Canis lupus familiaris: one gene and its partners. The protein of the gene in region 2 interacts with the protein of the main gene of each other region in a pairwise test. Links are inferred from orthologs where the notes say so. Each region holds a gene or a part of one and is shown on either strand. Other genes may lie near its edges.

Region 1 (4,260 bases), on a different chromosome or scaffold from region 2:
ATTAATTCAACTTAATTAAAGTTTTTCTTTCAAAATCAAGTATCAGGTAAATGAAGTCTACCATTCACATGGAGTACTAGAAGTAAACCAACTTACTTAACAGAAAACTGAGAACCAGTGAAATTAAGTGACTTAACCAACACACCACGTCAGTTGGTGCCTGAGTTTTTCAGTCATACTAAGTCATTGACAAATGAAAGGGAATTTTATTTTTTGAGGCTAGAAAAAATAGAAGGTAATTTGAGAGAAAGAGTTTTCAGGGAAAAGAAGGCCTAAGAGGAATCTCCAAAATGTCAAATGGGAAACTTTTGTCAGCTAAGCCGGCATGACGACACTGGCATGCAAGCAAGACTCAACAAGAGTTAACAAGTGGGAAAGTGTCTAGAAGAAAAAGGTTCTCACTATTAAGAAAATGAAAACAACCCATAGAATGGAAAGAAACATTTTGCAAATCACATATATGATATGGGACTTACACCTAGAATATATAAGGAACCCTTATAACTCAATGGTGAAAAAAACAAGTCACTTTAAAGGATTAAAATAGACATTTCTCCAAAGATAATATACAAATAGCCAATAATCACACAAGACAATGCTCCACATCAGAAAAGAGAAATGCAAACCAAATCCATGAGTTATCACTTCAAACCCACTTGACTGGTTATGAAAAAGATGGACAATAACAAGTATTGTTGAGATTGTGGAAAAAATAGAACCCGCAAGTCGCAAGCTAAAATGGCCCAGCTGCCTTCAAAACTAGTCTGGCAGTTCCTAAAAAGGCTAAACTTAGAGTTACCATATGACCTAGCAATTCTATTCCTGGGTATTCACCTAAGAAAAATAAGAATATAAGACTACACAAAAATCTGTATAGGAACATTCACAGCAAAAATATGAATAGTCAAGAAGTGGAAACACCCGAAACGTCCACTAACAGATGAATAAAATGTAATAAATCCACTCGACGGAATATTATTAGGCTACAAACAAGTATGAAGTCCTGACATATGCTACAACATGGATGAACCTTGAAAACTGAATGCTAAGTGGAAGAAGACAATCACAAAGGGCCACATGTTGATGTTGTCTGCTTTCATTTATATGAAATGTGTGGAACATGCAAATCTATAAAGACAAAAGAACAGGTTAATGTTTGCCTAAGGCTGGAGGAGATAGTGACAAAGACGGGAGGGAATAATCCTAAAGGGTACAGGGCTTTTTTGAAGGGGGATGAAATGTTCTAAAATTAACTGTAGTTATAACTGCACAATTCTCTGAATATACTAAAAACAACTGTACACTTTTAAAAATGTTTAATACATCCAAAAATGTGTAATGTACACTTTTAATGAGTGACTTCACTTTTAATGAGTGAATTATACGGAATGTGAATTATATTTCAACAAAGTTCTTAACAAAAGAAAAAAAAAAAACAGATAAGTTCCCCAACCAGGTCTTGTCTAATAACTCGAAGGAAACTTAAGAGTGGCTGACAGATGTCTCAGTTAAATTATTAAATATATTTTTTTAAATTTTTATTTATTTATGATAGTCACAGAGAGAGAGAGAGAGAGGCAGAGACATAGGCAGAGGGAGAAGCAGGCTCCACGCACCGGGAGCCCGACGTGGGATTCGATCCCGGGTCTCCAGGATCGCGCCCTGGGCCAAAGGCAGGCGCCAAACCGCTGCGCCACCCAGGGATCCCCAGTTAAATTATTAAAATGGCAGTATCTCTGGTCATGAGTCTGGCTCTGGATGTTACGATAAAGGTTTGGAGATTTGGCATGGGTGGCAGTGGACACTCAATAATATAAAGGATAGCCTTTACCCTAATCGTAAGAATGATTTAAAAAAAAAAAAAAAACCCTCACCTAACATTATATAGTTGAATAAAAGAGAAATGGTTGGTAAAGAACAAATAATCAGGGTAGCCCGCGAAGCGCAGCGGTTTAGCGCCGCCTTCAGCCCAGGGAGTGACCCTGGAGACCCGGGATCGAGTCCCACGTCGGGCTCCCTGCATGGAGCCTGCTTCTCCCTCTGCCTGTGTCTCTGCCCCTCTCTCTCTCTCTCTCTCTGTGTCTCTCGTGAATAAATAAAATAAAATCTTAAAAAAAAAAAAACCCACCCAGATAATCACTCCACAGGTCTGATAAACAACCTCTGTTGCTGCAGATTTCACTGAAGTAAACGCTGGTCCTTGATAGGGTTGTGAAGAGACCAGCAGATGGTCATTCATGTTCAAGGGGCCAGAAGCTGACTACGTTTGGGCAAAAGTGGTTTAGCTGGAGGTAAGGAATGAGCGCAGTATTACCCTAGGGACGCAATTCACAAACTTTATTGAGAATAACAAGGACATCACTAAATCAAGACGCAATGGGCCATTGTCCATTTCGCAAGCATCTCTTAGAAACAAAACGCGGCAACTCAACGGGCTACAGCACTCGTTCGAAAGAAAGTTAAAGTCCCACTGTATAGATTCCTCCAGCCACTGAGTTCACCTTCTGTCTAAAAAGCGCAATAACCGCACTTAAAGGTCGTATAACGAAGAACGAGGAAATCTGTGGGAATCAAAACTGCAAAGAAACGCGTAGCTCTGCACGGGCTTGGAAATCAAGGTGGGCAAGAAGTCCCCAGGTGGGTGACGGGGAATCAAACGTACCTCGAGTCACCCGAGGGAAGAGGCGAGGCGAAGGAATCCCGGGAACTGCATTTCTGCAGGTAAACCCGGGGTGGGCGACGCCGCCCGGAGGCTCCCTGCGACCCGAACGCGGAGGCGGAGAAGCGCGGGCGGCCGCGCCGCCAGCTCCCCGCGCTCGCTCCGGAGCCCGCTCCGCGTTTCCATGGCTAACGTCAACTCCCGCGCGCTCCGCCGCCGCCGAGGGCTCGCCCCGCCCCTCGGCTTGCGCTCGCCTCAGGGGCGCTTCCCCGCTCGGCGGCTGGGCGGGGCGAGGCGGGGCTGGCGGGAGAGGCCCACGCTCCCTCCTCAACCCGCGACTGCGGGCGGCGGGAGCCTCTCGAGTTCCGGCCGCCCCCGGGGCCGCGAGGCCTCCACCCGGACGAGAGAGAAGGGGCTCAGCCTCAGCCGTGCACTTTCACCCGGAGCCCCGCCCCTACGCAAGAGCGCCGTTTCCCTGGTGACGTGACGTGTCCGAGGGGCGGGTGGCGCTTTCCGGCCGATTGACGTGCGTGCGGCCGCCATTTCGCGAGCTTTGGCTTCCCGGGGGTCTGCCCGCCGACTTCCGCTAACCGCGTCCGCGCTTTGCCTGTCCCTCCGCCGCTCGCCGCGGGTGATGCTTGCTTTTAAGGGCCGCTTCCTACGTCCTCTTCGGCTTGGAAGATTGGAGCTGAGTCGATGTGCCAGCGGTGTCCTTCACTGCGTCATTGCCACTAAGGAGGCGTCTGTTTAATAAGGCAAAGCCCCCCCTGCCCCCCCCCCCCCCCGTATCCTAATCGGAACAAAACAATAACAAAACCAAACCCCGTGGCGGACTGTTGTACTTAGAGGCAGTTTAAGATGCGGGAGTCTCTACAGGGTGGCCACAGAGTCCCAGTCCCAGTCCCAGTTTTGCTGGTTTAAAGTTACACGCCCAATGGAGTTAGAGTCCTTGCCCGTGTTCTGGACATCTTCCAGATTGCCAGTTGGAAGCCCACGAGGCGGCCCCTTAGAGCGTTAAACTGGTTCATTGGTCTCCAGTGATTTAGAGGCTCTTTGAGGGAACTCTGAAGCCCATTTGTCAGTATTGAGGTACTTGGGTTTCCCTAAGTGATTGACACTCTAGCAGTTGTGCCTACTTGGGACTCCTGAGCGCTCCAGGACGGCCTTGTTTGGGTCTCTTTAACCTCAAGGCTGTAAATGCAGCCTTTGTTTGTTTTCTGGCTTTCCTGGAGATGATGTCTTAGTTCTTAAATATCTAGGTTTTCAGGCCATAATAGGACGACTTTTTGTGCTAATATGAAAAGAAAGCCAAAGCATTCTTTTATATATAGATATAAATATATGTAAAAGGTACTACTCTATAGATATAGATACCTATATACAAAAGATACTACTCTATTCAGAGGGAAAGTGTAGTTTATTTTACGTGTGTGGAAGACAACCCTGTGCATTTTTTTTTCTTTTTTACGTTTATTTATTCAGAGAGAGAGAGAGAGAGAGGCAGAGACATAGGCAGAGGGAGAAGCAGGCTCCATGCAGGGAGCCCAACATAGGACTCGATCCCGGGTCTCCAGGGTCACGCCCTGGGCTGAAGGTGGAGC
Region 2 (3,645 bases):
TAATAAGCTTTGGGGGCACCTGGGTGGCTCAGTCAGTTAATCAAGACTAATTTCAGCTCAGGTCATGATCTCAGGGCTGTGACATCAAGCCCCACATCGGGCTGGTGCTGAGCATGGTGGACCCTGCTTAAGATTCTCCTTCTCCTTCTGCCCTCCATATCCCACCTTCCCTTGCTCATGCTCTCTCTCTCTCAAAAGAAAGAATAATAAACTTTATTTTATTCAATATAAAGTGCATATATCCACCTCAATAACGATAACCAAGAATATCTTAAGTATTCTAAGGTACAGAACAAATAAAGCAAAAACTATGTGTGTGCATAGTATTTAATATGTAAAGAAAATATCTGATGATTTCCAAAAACAGAAATAAAAAGTAAAAAAAAGTATCACCTAAAGATAAACTTGAAAGGGTAAAATGGCAATATTTTTGTTGTCTAAAGGCTAATAATTCATATATTTTTAAACCTTTTACATATAGAAAATGTTAGTATACAAATGAGCACAATTCGCATTTAAAACAAAATATCAACCTCTTCCCAGTCACAAAGTTTAGAGGTATGACAAACAAAACAGAAGTTTACAAGTATGATGACGAAGCAAGTGAGCTGGGCATGCTATAGCAGAGATGTGGATTCAAACGGCAGCCAAGGAAATAATTGACAGCACTTTGGGATGGAAGTAAGGAGCACCATGTGCCAGGTATGGCTTTGCTGAGAGCAGCTCCAGTGAGGTGGCTGGTAGAGGGCAGAGCCTAACTGAAGATGTTCTACACAGGAAAATGTAAAATTAAAATTAATATAGTCAGTATAGACAACTCTTTTGAAGAATCTGATTTTGAAGGAGAGCAGAGAAATATGGAAATAATTTGATAGGGATATAGGATTCAAGGATGGTTTCGATTTTTTTGCAATATGGGAAATATTAAAGCTTACTTTATATCAGTAGGAATGATTTAGCAGTGAGGCAGAACTTGATGATGTAAAAAGAAAATAAAAAACTGTGCAAAAGGACGTGAGTGAAGTCTTAGGGGAAGAGACATGTCATCCATCATCAACTCATCCACTCTAACAGACTATGGGCACAGATGCAGATAGACTGGTAGATTTGGTGGTAGAAAAATTAGGAAGCCCTCCTTTCATTGCTTCTGTTTTATCTGTGGATGCTAGAGAAAAAAAAAAACTTATTTTTTTACTAAGATTATTTTTTTCAAAGATTTTATTTATTTATTTAAGAGACAGAGTGAGTGTGCACAAGTGGGGAGAGGGGCAGAGGGAGAGGGACAGGCAGACTCTCCACTGAATGTAGAACCTGACTCAGGGCTCAATCTCATGACCCTGAGCCAAAATCAAGAGTCAGATGCTGGGAGCCTGGGTGGCTCAGTGGTTGAGCATCTGGCCTTTGGTTCAGGACGTGATCCGGAATCCTGGGATCAAGTCCCATAACGGGCTCCCTGCAAGGAGTCTCTTCCTTGTCTCTTCCTCTCTCTCTCTGTGTCTCTCATAAATAACTAAATAAAATCTTAAAAAAAAAAAAGTCAGATGCTTAACCAATGAGACACCCAGGCACCCCTTCCCTAAGACTGTTACATTACTTTACTTTATCAATATGATGATCAAAAATAATTTTTAACAACTTGAACATTCTTGAAATGGGCATGTAATTATCTACCTGCCTTCCAAACGAGTCACTTCTGCCTGCAGAAGTTCTTCACTACTGTGGGTGAAATCCAGCTGGGACAGCACATTGCCTAAGTCCCCCTGTCCTTGTGAGGTGTACCTCTGTGCTGTCTGTGACTCCTGCAGTGACCTAAAAAAGGACAGAGGAGGATGGTTAAAGGCCTCTGATCTTTGCAAATAAAACAATGCACAATTAGTTCATATTTTCCTATTGTTTTTGGTAATGAAACTCTTTGGAACTCTTCAGCTTGTCTCCTGCTTCATGAAAAGAACACTTAGACTAAAGAGCTGAAGAAATGATGCTTCTCAAAAAAGTCAGCAGCAGTTTACTCCTTTCTCAACTAGGATTTGGCCCATTTTTCAAGGGAAAAAGACAAAATGACAAAACTTTTGTTTCCACTCGATACCTTGAGCCAAAGAAACTGAAAAGTTACAGAAAAGTTCTGGCAAGAATAGAAACGCGTACCAGACCTAAATCAAACAAAAGGAGCATAGCTCCTTCTATTACTTTCCACTACAAACCTCACGGAAATAATTCACACATAGGAACAAAATGTGTTTTAGGATTTTTTTAAAAATTAGCCATTTCGATAGCTGGTTTTTAATGATGTTGATAAGCAGTTACTAATCATGACCTATTCTACCAAGAAACAGAGACCTTCCACGAGACATGGATTCCAAATCCTTTCACATTTGAAGTTTCACCGAGGGTATAGATTTGACCAACTGGTTTCTATTTTTACAGTCTTTTGGTTAGGGACCCAAATTGGAGCCAAAAAAAAAAAAACCCCCAAATCACACAAAATTTTATAAAACCATAAAAATTTAACTCAGAAATTAAAACCGAATAAGAAAACCCATAACATGATCAAACACAAAATTATGAATATGTAATACTAAAACTGGTGCTCAATGCCAAACCACCAGGTGGCTACAATTAATATTTAAGATTAAATATACCTTATGGCCTCTACTGAGTGTTGAGTGTCAGCTGGCTTTAACTTTGCTTGTAGCTTCTCCTTTTGCATTCTTTCCTCATGCATGAAATTTTCTTGAGACTGAAGAGTTGCTTTTAATTCTCTCTTTTCTTCCTGCAGAATCTAAAAAATACTCAGAAAAAAGTCAGATGTCATTTACAATGTTTCCATTTCATGAGAATAGGAAGCCAGGGAGTCAAGTCTAACAGGTACAAGGTACAGAACCCTTATTGTTAATAAGGCTATCAATGTCTGATCCATTAGCTACAGAGTAGAAAAGAAACCATGGATTCTTGAACTGGGTTCTAGGTTAATTTTTTTTAAGTTCTTATTTAAATTCTAGTTAGTTAACAAACAGTGTTGGGAAAATTGTACAGTCACATATAGAAGAATGAAACTGGACCACTTTCTTATGCCATACACAAAAATAGACTCAAAATGGATAAAAGACCTAAATGAGAGACAAGAATCCATCAAAATCCTAGAAGAGAACACAAGCAGCAACCTCTTTGACCCTGGCCACAGTAACCTTTTGCTAGACACATTTCCAAAGGCAAGGGAAACAAAGACAAATATGAACTATAAGGACTTCATCAAGATAAAGAGCTTGCACAGCAAAGGAAACAGCAAAACTAAAAGGCAACCTACAGAATGGGGGAAAATATTTGCAAATCTCTTATTAAATAAAGGGCTAGTAACCCAAATCCATAAAGAATTTATCAAACTCAACACCCAAAAAACAAAAAATCCAGGCAAGAAATGGGCAGAAGACATGAACAGGCATTTCTCCAAAGAAGACATACAAATGTCCAACAGATACATGAAAAAATGCTCAACATCACTCGGCATCAGTGAAATACAAATCAAAACACAATGATATGAAAAGCCCATGGTGAATATCATTCTCCATGGGGAAAAACTGAGAACTTTTCCCCTAAGGCCAAGAACATGGCCTGGATGTCCACTATCCAACACAGTACTGGAAGTCC
Region 3 (4,126 bases), on a different chromosome or scaffold from region 2:
ATCTAGTGTGCCGCCTCCCCCACCCCTCCAACTTCTGAACCTCTGTACAAACCCTTAGGCTGCCTCCACAGGTGAGTGCTGCTGGGGGTAGGGCTGGGCCTACCCTGGAGGGGTTCTCCCTCTGGGCTGCAGGAGGGAGGGAGGGAGGCTGAGGGCTGACTGCCTGGGAGGGCCCGGGCCCAGTCCCCCCACCCTCTTTGGCCTGACCAAGGCACCTGAAGCTCTGGGGACTTCTGGCTGAGGTCAGCAAAGGCGTCACCTAGTGCATGCTGGGTCTGCAGCAGGCTGTAGAGGTGGGCTGTCAGTGCCCGGCCCAGCTGCAGGACACTCTCATACTTGCGCTTCGTCTCACGCAGCAACTCAATCTGCAGCTCTAGCTCCAGGTCCACAGTCCGGGAGCCTCGGCCAAATCGCTCTGATAACAGCTGCTTTGTGCACTGATTGGGAAGTGGGGGAATAGGTCAGAGACCCTAGCACCCTGCCCCCCCAACAGGTATCTACCCTAGCATCCCAAGGCTCCTCGTCTCAGACAAGGATGGGAGAGTGGAATCTGGAAGATGGGGAAAAGGTACCCAGGGGAAGTCTGGGGAAGGGGAAAGGGAAAGGTGCTTAAATCCCACCTTATATGTGTTGATGCCCCATTTCTTGACGATGTCAAACTTTTCTCCAGCGATGCCCCGAGCCACCTCATCTCCCGGGCCAGCAGGAGTGGTACTGTGAGATGGATGGCGGCCAGACCCTAAAGAACCAAGTTCTTTGACACCAGCCTCTCTGATATAACCAGACATCTCTGTGGCTCCACCCATACTTCCCACCGACCCCACTATGAAATGACTTTCCACCGACTTCCCACCATGAAAATGACTTCTCTGAAGTAGCAGAAACTAGAAATTCTCCTACTCACTAGGAAGAACTCATACCTTGTGCCCTGAAACCCAAATCCCAATATATATCTGGCCTCCTCCTGAGATGGTGATGGGGGCTGGAGTGGGGGGAGGGAGGGAGTTGCTGATGTACAGGGGCAGAGAAAACAGAAGAAAATATGCTGAGTATTGGGTGGCAGGTCAAGGATGGTGGGTTCCTGACAATAGGAAATCTCATTGACGTTCTCATGTGGAATCCTAGTCAGTGTGAAATTCAGGGCTATTTGCTTCTCTAAACTTGAGAATCTGAAGCAAAACTTTGAGAAGCTTCAGAGTTCCAAATAAGTCTCAAGCTCCAAAGCAGGAGAACTTCTGCAAAACAGTTCGTAATGTGATTCAGGTGGTGGCAGCAAAGAAAGGACAAATGGACACATCTCAGGGCTAAATGGCAAGCGGGAGCAGTTGGACAGCCCTAGGCTCTAGCCTTGGGCTGAGTAGAGTCCATTGGGCTTGTACTAGCAAGAGTTCCCAAAATCTCCAGACATAGTTCAAGCTATCTTAGGCATATCCTATACTCCCCAGAACCATTCCACTCCCTCTGTCCATTCAAGCTTCCTGTCCTGTTCTGATCATTCATACCTGTGGGGATGAGTCCATCACCAGAGCCCCCATAGCCACCAGACACAATGCTGGTTTCATTGAGGTTGGGTCCTGACACCATCACCTGCTGGAGGTCCTATAGGCCAGAGAAGAGGGGGGCTTCAGGAACATTGGGGCAGCTGAAGCATTTGGGGGGTGAGAACAAGCTTGGATTGAAGCATCACAGAGAGAGCACACAAGGGAAGTCTGCATAGAATCAGAATGAAGATATGTAAAGATTGGAGGGAGTTAGATAAGTTAGGGGAAAACTCCTGGAATGGGGTGAGAGCCCAGGGCTTATGATTTTGGACTCCTAAATTGAAACAATATGGAGAAGAATCAAACAGAAGCACCTGCTCCAGCCCATCATCCTCAGGAAGCTGCCCGGCTTCACCGTTCCCGTGGATGGGGATCTCCATTGTGGCTGCCTTCCCTAGGATCCCGTCCGTCATGGCTAGGGAAGGGATTGGAGTCAAAGTCTCCACCCCAGCGCCCTGCAAAGCCCAACACAGACAGTTCTGGAAACTAGCCAGTACTCCCGAAAGAAAAGTCTCCCCCACCATTTCAGAGATTTTAGAGGTTGTCCCAAGACTTGAGTATCCTGGGGTTCGGCCACCACTCCTTTCTTCTCGTAGATATGTATTTCTCCCCTCCAGGGTGTGTATCTTTCCACATGCACACCCAGGTCCCCAGTATCTTCTCACGGACCCCCAACCCCACCAGGACTCAGGTGATCACTCATGCGTTCAACCATTCAACAGACTACTATTTGAGGTCACAGCAGTGGCCAAGGGAGAGAAAGTCTGTGCTGTTTTGGAACTTACCCCCATGCAGCTGTTTCCTCCCATCAGATTAACCCCTTTCCAGGGCTCAGGAGCCTACTCCTCCCGCTCTGGTATGTTCTCCATTGCTTGGCCTCTCACACTCCCTTAGGGTTGCTTCCCCTTTCCTTCAGGTGGTCTCTCCCTCCTCCATCCCATGCACCCCCTCCTCCTGCAGCCCTCCCCCTGCAGGCCCTAGTTGAATCAGTTGGTGTCCGTTCTTGGCCTCTGGGAAAAGCCACATTTTCCCAGCACATAGTGATCCCTTCCAAAGTCAGTTATGTCCCCCAGGTGTGTTAGTCCCCGCCCCCCCCCCACCCCACACCTGGGCATCAGGTGTGTCCTCATCCTTCCCCAGGGCTCTGTAGCATCTTTCCCTCGGGGCAGGCTCGTGCATTCAACTTCCCCTTGCCCAAGTATGTCCTTCTCACCTCGGGCCGGGCCGCTCTTCCCCTCAGGGCGCCAGGCCCGGGCCGCGCGGGGACCTCGGGCTCCAGTTCCCGTCGCGATCCTAGCAGCAGGTCAGGGACTCGGCGGAAGTGACGTCCCCTCCCGGGCAGAAGAAGCCGGCCACGTCGCAGACTATAAGGGCGGAGATGACGTTAAAGCCAGGGGCGGGGCGATCCTTGAGGCAACCCCTCAGTCCCCGGGGAGCCAGGAGAGGTCACTTCCGGGGCGTTACCAAGAGGCTGTGCGGAAGTGACGTGCGTGCGCCGGTGGCGCGATGGAGCCGCAGCAGCAGCAGCAGCAGCAGCAGCAGCTGAGGAACGTGAGTGGGTGCTAAGTCGCGACGGGGCCATCAGTTCAGCTGGCATCTTCGTCCGTTTGGCTGGAGGGCGGAGGGTTGGGAACGTCGCGCTCTGGCGCGCCGTCCTGGGAAACCTCGAGGGCGCGGCCTCGAGGTGCCCCCTTATCGCTGGGCTCTTTGTCCCCTTCTCTCCTAGTTGCGGGACTTCCTGTTGGTCTACAATCGGATGACGGAACTCTGCTTCCAGCGCTGCGTGCCCAGCTTGCACCACCGAGCTCTGGACGCTGAAGAGGTTAGGTGGGGTTCGCCGTAGACTGTCCCCAACCTCCACCGCCCCTACCTCTGGCCCGGGCCTTTCCATGACCCTTGCCCCTGGGCCAGGGATGGGACGGACACCAGTGGACACCAATGCTTCACCCTGTCTTCCTTCCAGGAGGCCTGTCTGCACAGCTGTGCTGGGAAGCTGATCCATTCCAACCACCGCCTCATGGCCGCTTACGTGCAGCTCATGCCGGCTCTGGTACAGCGCCGCATCGCAGACTACGAGGCTGCCTCAGCTGGGCCAGGTGTTGCTGCAGAACAGCCCGGAACCTCACCATCAGGCAGCTAGGAAGGGAGGCGCTGGATGGACCCTCAAACTGAAGGAGCCAGTGGACCTTGGGCTGGATGCAGCCCATATATAGAGTGAGGGGTTGTCTGACAGCTGGGTAGTATTGCTCCTTTTCTTGGAGCCAATAAACCCACTTTTGCACTGTTTGATTTATGTTCTGGGCACGGAAGCTTTGCCCGCTTTATTGGCCCCATCCTTTATCCTGTCAGCGCATATCTGTTGGCTTCAGCCCTGGCAGTGGAGAAATTGGCTTCTATGTGTAGAAGGAAAACCTCAACATTTCCTGGCACCTGGTTAAAACAAGGCCTGTGGGTACAATTTTTTCTTTTGTAAAGAGTTTATTTATTCACGAGACACACAGAGAGCGGCAGAGACATAGGCAGAGGGAGAAGCAGAGGCTCCCTGTGGGGAGCCCGATGCCGGACTTGATCCCAGAACCCCAGGA

What was found. The genes of interacting proteins can lie anywhere in the genome.
Region 1: the proteins of CEP63 (region 2) and PCNX4 interact in a two-hybrid assay, tested with the Homo sapiens proteins (2 studies listed by BioGRID and IntAct). The link is inferred for Canis lupus familiaris from reciprocal best matches to the Homo sapiens genes CEP63 and PCNX4.
Region 3: the proteins of CEP63 (region 2) and ARFIP2 interact in binary tests that used the Homo sapiens proteins (3 or more experiments, as listed by UniProt). The link is inferred for Canis lupus familiaris from reciprocal best matches to the Homo sapiens genes CEP63 and ARFIP2.

What each region holds. Positions count from the first base shown.
Region 1 is NC_049229.1:35,488,350-35,492,609, reverse strand, and holds the start of PCNX4 (pecanex-like protein 4), read right to left. Parts: upstream 2,906-4,260; 5' UTR 2,663-2,905; intron 1-2,662.
Region 2 is NC_049244.1:31,806,303-31,809,947, reverse strand, and holds part of CEP63 (centrosomal protein of 63 kDa), read right to left. Parts: intron 2,780-3,645; coding exon 2,640-2,779; intron 1,810-2,639; coding exon 1,672-1,809; intron 1-1,671. UniProt on the Homo sapiens protein: Required for normal spindle assembly.
Region 3 is NC_049242.1:30,303,424-30,307,549, forward strand, and holds the start of ARFIP2 (arfaptin-2), read right to left. Parts: upstream 2,906-4,126; 5' UTR 2,755-2,905; intron 1,997-2,754; 5' UTR 1,955-1,996; coding exon 1,856-1,954; intron 1,600-1,855; coding exon 1,503-1,599; intron 740-1,502; coding exon 621-739; intron 438-620; coding exon 216-437; intron 1-215. Other genes in the region: TIMM10B (mitochondrial import inner membrane translocase subunit Tim10 B), read left to right, coding at 3,048-3,092, 3,268-3,363, 3,505-3,681. UniProt on the Homo sapiens protein: Plays a role in constitutive metalloproteinase (MMP) secretion from the trans Golgi network. May have important functions during vesicle biogenesis at certain cargo subdomains, which could be predominantly utilized by secreted MMPs, such as MMP7 and MMP2.